Regions from separate parts of the Mus musculus genome. Here region 1 is reported to be linked to region 2. Evidence: microRNA targets listed by miRTarBase, many of them from high-throughput screens and not tested one by one. Region 2 holds a microRNA gene; the other region holds the end of a gene's coding sequence.

Evidence for each region. The annotated mature microRNA mmu-miR-486b-5p reads UCCUGUACUGAGCUGCCCCGAG and lies in region 2 at 993-1,014, opposite strand. An mRNA with a match to its seed (bases 2 to 7 or 8) in the 3' UTR can be bound and repressed. Matches are read on the target gene's strand: a 7mer-m8 pairs with bases 2 to 8, a 7mer-A1 pairs with bases 2 to 7 and ends in A, and an 8mer does both.
Region 1: the mRNA of Aim2 is a reported target of mmu-miR-486b-5p. Seed matches in the 3' UTR shown: 7mer-m8 at 2,420-2,426.

Annotation. Positions count from the first base shown.
Region 1 is chr1:173,464,444-173,467,988 of GRCm38, reverse strand. It overlaps Aim2 (absent in melanoma 2), which reads right to left. Exons shown (of 9, transcript NM_001013779.2): 9 at 1,949-3,018. The coding sequence ends at 2,971. Among named protein-coding and RNA genes, the nearest start is that of Ifi206, 25 kb to the left of the region's middle.
Region 2 is chr8:23,140,601-23,143,600 of GRCm38, reverse strand. It overlaps Mir486 (microRNA 486), which reads right to left and starts at 1,046; the gene lies at 919-1,046. It overlaps Ank1 (ankyrin 1, erythroid), which reads right to left. Exons shown (of 44, transcript NM_001110783.3): 42 at 2,372-2,437; 43 at 1,881-2,005. The coding sequence ends at 1,907. Gm15816 (predicted gene 15816) reads left to right here. Exons shown (of 6, transcript NR_169137.1): 3 at 397-477; 4 at 2,336-2,776. Mir3107 (microRNA 3107) reads left to right here and starts at 939; the gene lies at 939-1,028.

The DNA.
Region 1 (3,545 bases), not on the chromosome of region 2:
GGTAAACACTTATATGACACAGATATTGAAGGTAATTAGCTTGCAAAGATCTTTGTATCCGGGAAACTACAACTATACTGATCCTGGAAATTTTCACCATATTCTGCTTTTGATAAAGATATAAAAAGTATGATTGTTCTCAATGAAATTGACACACCTGTGACATTGGGCTGTGGTCCCTCCAACCTGGCCTGACTTAATTCCTTGCAACCATATCAGGTGACCTGGACCTGGAAAATAAGCACAGGCACTTACATGACTGTCTCCTAGAAGCTGTCTGCAGTTAGCTGTTAGCTGATGGTTGTTCAGCAGAGTCATAAAAAGAAAAAAAATTGTAGAGTGACTAGAGGATATTCTATTGATCTGTTCAGCTGACAACAGTTCTATTGATCTATTGTCTTTGGCAAACACTGAGTCATGTGTGTTTCTAAGTATGAAGGAGTTTCATCCTTAATTCTACACAATTCCACATGTTGGAAGATTTAGTATTCCATACCTAGAACCTATTCCTTCTTTTGCTCCAGAAGCAGAACAATTTTTCCTTCCCCTTGTTTCAAAGCTTCCTGTCTTAGTTAGGGTTTTACTGGTGTGAACAAACACCATGTCCAATGCAAGTCTTACAAGGACAACATTTAATTGGGGCTGGCTTACAGGTTCAGAGGTTCAGTCCATTATCATCAAGATGAGAGCTTGGCAGCATCCAGGCAGGCATGGTGCAGGAGGAGTTGAGAGTTATACATCTTCATCTGAAGGTTGCTAGCAGAATACTGGCTTCTAGGCATCTAGGATGAGGGTCTTAAAAATACCTACTCCAAGGAGGCCACACCTAATTCAAGAAGGCCACACCTTCTAATAGTGCCACTCCCTGGGCTGTGCATATACAAACCATAACAGGTCTCTTTGCCATGAAGAGTAAGAGTTGCTTCTCTTCCCCTAGAGTGTAAGAGTAACTTTTATTCACAAGAGGTAATAGTCATCTTGGAGACTTACTGCCTCTGTCTACTAACCTAGGTCTAGTCCTGGAAGCTTCTAGCTTCCAAACTCAAAATTCCTCTCCAGCCTGATTCAATATGGCTTCCCTTAGCTTCTTAATTTCTCTGATGGCTTCAAACTAACTTTGGCAATGTGTTCTAACCTTCTAGCTCTTTCTCATCCTCTGGCTCATTCTTTCTTCAATTGTGCCTAGCTTTTTCTTGTAAACAACACAATCTGGAGGTTCACTGTGTAATTAAATATCCTGCAACACTAGAGAAATTTTATCATATATGAGGACCTCAAGGGAGACCTTCATGCCTTTCCCTCAGCGGCTCATCTTTCCCAGGCATGTGCCCAGACTTTCTCATGCCCACCCAGGAAAGTACCTGAAAATGAGCATAAGCTCTCCTTATGGTGGAGGTTCTCAGAAGATCTCCATTCTCATGCCACTAAACTCAATCTTGGTTAATTTGCTAACATTTTAACTTAATTATAATTTGTGAGTTGTCTAGTATGCACTACCTGCCCCAGGTAGAAATATTTCCTTCTCCTCACTCTCTGAAGATGTTTGTCTTTCCTTAGGTTTTTCTCATGTGCTTGTACTACAACCTCAGCTCTCTGGGTGGAATCTAAAAAAAAATGTGATTTTTGCAATTACCTAACATTATTTATTGGAAGAACAGTCTATTCTGGGAAAAAGCACAGCAATTAATCATTCAATAGCAAATGGTCATCCCTGAAAATATACATACAAGCAACATTGTACAGATTGAGCAGGTTGTATTTATATATATATGTAGATATGCATATATGCTTATAGCAACAATTCATGAAAAAGAAGGCCATGTATTTGAAAGAAAGCAAGGAATGGTACATGGGAGGATTTAGGGGGAAGAAAGGAAAGAGGGAAATAGTATCATTGTATTATGATATCAAAAATGGAATAAGTAATAAAAATAGAACAGTCACAAACTTTTTTCTAACTTTCTGAATCATGAGTAAAATCATATTTATTTATTTATCAACAATCTTTCTTTTTAAAAACATAATTCTTTTATTGAGTGCTAGGGAATTTCACATCACATACCCCAATATCACTGATTTCTTAGTACTATCATACCCACCCTCCTCCACCTGTAACCTCCTCCCCAAAAGGAAATTTAAAATTTTTAAATTAAAAAATTATATATCACCAATCTTCTCTATCACCCACAGGCGTCTCTCCGACAAGGCCCTGCTGTCACATCTGCAATCCCGCCATACTTATACCCTCAGTGTCTATGTAGAGAAGAATGATATCTCAAACCTTAGACAAAGCAACAATTTTATTAGATATTTTCTTCATTTACATTTCAAATGCTATCCCGAAAGTCCCCTATAACACCCCCCACACACACTCCCCAACCCACCCACATCCACTCCTGCTGCCTGGCCCTGGCATTCCCCTGTACTGGGGCATATGATCTTTGCAAGACCAAGGGCCTCTCCTCCCATTGATGACCGGCCAGGCCATCTTCTGCTACATATGCAACTGGAGACACAGTTCTGGGGGGTACTGGTTAGTTCATGTTGTTGTTCCTCCTATAGCGTTGCAGACCACTTGCTGCTTGGGTACTTTCTCTAGCTCCTTTATTAGGGGCCCTGTGTTCCATCCAATAGATGACTGTGAGCATCTGCTTCTGTACTTGTCAGTCACTGGCAGAGCCTCACAAGAGAGAGCTATATCAGGATCCTGTCAGCAAAATCTTGCTGGCATATGCAATAGTGTCTGGGTTTGGTGGTTGTATATAGGATGGATCCCCAGGTTGGGCAGTCTTAATAACTTAATTAATAATAAGTTTACATATATTTTTCAGATGTTTTTTGAGTATTTGTCCTTTTCTAAGTAATACAATATGATGATGAGGTTGTAAAATGCTATCCTCAGGTAGTTCAGTCTAGTTCAAGGAGCAGCATCAGGATTCTTCAGGAAAAGGTTTTTCAAATGAGGTGACTTCACTCCACACTTTTCATGTCAGTTTTTGGCTTTGCAGCCTTAATAACCTGGGTAGGAAAGGAAGATGAAGACTGAAATATTGTTGATTAATTAATTCTCCTCTACTTTCACTTACTGTGTTCTCCTGAAAATTCCTTTCTTCTCATCAAATCTCCTCACCTAACACATATTTCCTCTTAATTCTGTCACTCTTGGACAACTCTCCTGAACTATATCTGCCCTGAACACACACACACTCCTACACAAGAAGGACAAATATGAAGACTTCTCAGGTCCCCATCTAATAACTCTATATATACAGTTGAGTGGTGAGGAAGAGAGGAAAGCAGAATCAGTGGGATCATCAGCACGGGGATGTGATAGCTGACTTAACTGCTTTGGACTATGACAGATGTGAAGATGATTGCCCTGGCTCAGATGTTTGTTGTCAGGGTGTTATAGTCTGACTTGACTTTTAACTGCATTTGCCAGAATGATGTGTGCAACTTTGAGAAAGCTGCCTTCATTAGATTTAGACTGTATTCAATAAATTCATTGTGGAAAGTTCTTTGAGAGGAGGAGGAGGAGGAGAAGG
Region 2 (3,000 bases):
GTAGTGTGTATGTGAGAGAGTGTATGTGTGTGTGTATGTAAGTGTGTTGTGCCTGTGTGTGTATGTGTGTGTGTATGTGTGTTGTGTTATGTATTTAGTATGTGTGTTGTGTTGTGTGTGTGTAGTGTGTGTATATGTAGTGTGTGTGTGGTGTGTGTGTGTGTGTGTGTGTGTAAGTGTGTTGTGCCTGTGTGTGTGTATGTGTGTTGTGTTGTGTATTTAGTATGTGTATGTGTGTGTGTTGTGTTGTGTGTGTGTAGTGTGTGTATATGTAGTGTGTTGTGTGTGTGTGTGTGTGTATGTGTGTAGTGTGTGTGTGTGTGGGGGGGTGTTGGGGCAGGGGCATGCCGGGTACAGTAAATTAATGAAACACTCTACTTCTGCCCTGTCCTTCAGCTGCCTTGCCGTTGCTGCCTCCCATTGAGGCCCTGGATAAAGTCTCAGCCAACAAACACAAGTGCAAGTCCGGCTGCCACTGTAAGAAAGATAGGGCTGAAGAAGACATTCTCCCTCCCTCCCTCCTTTAAAAATGACTCGAACCTTTGGGTTGTTTCCCAGCCGGGATCAAGAGCGAGTCTTGGCCTTTAAATCAGCAGACATGCAGGACCCTCCTGGCAGTGCTGGGGTTAACACTGTGACCTCCTTACAGCTGCTGAGGAGTCAGGGCTAATTTTACTCTCCTATCGGGCTCTGCCCAGCCTCATATTGTCCAAGTGCTGAGATATGTTGGGAAGCATCAAGTCAGCACTTCTGCCGGCCCAGGAGGCTGCGCGGGCCCTGCTTTTTGCAGAAGGCAGAAAACCAGTGACTGCCTGCTGCTCGGCTCTGGAGCTGGGCCCTGAGAGTTCAGGGGTGGGGGTGGGTGGGGGAAGGGGCAATAACCCAGTTAGTGCTGTGCATGGGCAGAGGCTGTGATGCTGGCTTGTTCCCCGTTGTCTCCCACCCTGACGCATCCTGTACTGAGCTGCCCCGAGCTGAGCACAGTGAAGGACCTCGGGGCAGCTCAGTACAGGACCCCTCAGGGAGGGCGAGATCAGAGCTGGCTGCTGAGGCTGGCTCTTGGGCACTGCAGCCTGCTGAAGATCTTCGTTGCGTAGCCTGGCCCACCCATCCTTGGCCCCCGCCCTGACGCACACCCCTCACACACTAGTACAGCCGTTAGCCATGAAGACCTTCCTCACTTCCAGGGAAGATTCTACCTATGCCTTGGGTCTGCTAACTTAGTTCCTTCTCAGACATCAAGCGAGCAGCCTTGTTCTCAGAACAGTAATCGAATTAAAGCTATGGCAGGTTAGGACTCCAGTGAGCCTTAAGGTTTATGTCTGGCGTGCTTTCTGACCATGTGTAGTGAGATAGGCTCAGACTGTGTTTTGAGCACTACTTCAAAGCACTATTTTAACATTATACTGGTACAGTCAGGCATGGTGCTGCATGCCTTTAATTCCAGTACAGAGGCAGCTGGATCTCTGTGGGTTCAAGGCCAGCCTGGTCTATTTAGCAAGTTCCAGGACAGCCAGGGCTATATAGAGAGACTCTGTTTATAACTAAATTGCACAGGGACTGAAGGTGTGGCTCAGAATGCCTATCTCTGGTCCCACCCCCCTAACACAGCCAAAAAAGACAAAAGAAAATATAAATAAGCAAAATAAACCCAAGCCCCTGATTTTGTGTACTCTCCAGCAGACTGGTGTCAACAGAGAGGCACAGGTCTGAAGAGGACGTGGAGGGGCAGAGACAGTGGCTAGTTTGAGGAGTGGGATTCTGAGAGTCTGGTTTTAACTCTGAACTGAGCTAGTAGTGCAAGGATGGGGTGGGTTGGGAGCAGCAAGCAGCTACCTCATCAAGGACCATGCCAGCAAGGACGAGAAAGCCACTGTTACCTCCCAAGGGGCTACTTGAGGAGAGGTCACTGCTTGCCCCTTTTCAGGCTGGCCCGCTTCACTATCTGAGCCCCCTTCCTGCCCTCTATCAGGTCCGGCTGGAGTCCACTCCCTCTTAGCTCCACCTGGAGACAGCATCAGAGACAGAAAGTAGGAAATCACACAGGCAGATGAGCAAGCTCGGGCAGGAAGTGAGAAGGGTCAGGACAGAGAGGAGTAGGAGGAGGAGGAGGAGGAGGAGGAGGAGGAGGAGGAGGAGGAGGAGGAGGAGGAGGAGGAGGAGGAGAAGGAGGAGGTGGGAACACCATCTGTCCGCCAGAAAGGTAGCCAGGGGCAGCATTGCAACCTGGAGCAAAGTAGAGGTGAGGCGGAGGTGAACTTGCTGCGGCCTCCAGGGGCCTGCAGTGCCTTGGTACCTTAGTAAGTTTCATAAAGGACTCAATATCTGCTTCCAGATCCCCAGGGTCTGCCAGGGGACCCTCGACAATCACCTCCTCGTGCTGCTGGGTGTCGATGGCACCAGACGAGTCTACCTGCCGGACGACTTTGCGAATGATCTGGAAAGAGAGGGGAAGAGAAGGAGAGATGGTCAAGTCGTCAGGACAACATTTGAGAAGAACAGGGCTCCAGCAGAGGCACCAGGAGGAGAGGCCATGGCTTCCTGTCCCCCGGAGCCAAGAAGAAGCCTTTCTCTGCTGTCATCTATGGGGAATGTCGGTGGGGCTTGGACTGGGGAGCACGGCTGGCAGGGCTTCGGCAAACATTGGCTTGGGCACGCGCAGCGCTGCCTCAGCCCTCCGCCATCCCACTCTGTTCCTTGGAATGGATGGAAGTTCGGTCTGACTATCGTGCCTCTACAGTGCCTAAGGACAGAGGCAGGCAACCCTTCTATCCATGTGCGTCTGCTCTACTCACCTTCTCTGTGTCCATTTATCCAGAATGGGAGGTGAACATAAACCATGGCTTAGGCCTTTAGGGAGGGGCAAGGACAGACAGGGGCCATCATTCCTTATGTGAACAGTGGTCCTAGTGAGTGGCACAGGCGCGCACGCGCCATGTCCTGCTCTCTCCCATTGCCTCATGGGGCAATGTCCGCCAAGCAGCACAAGCTTATCATGTG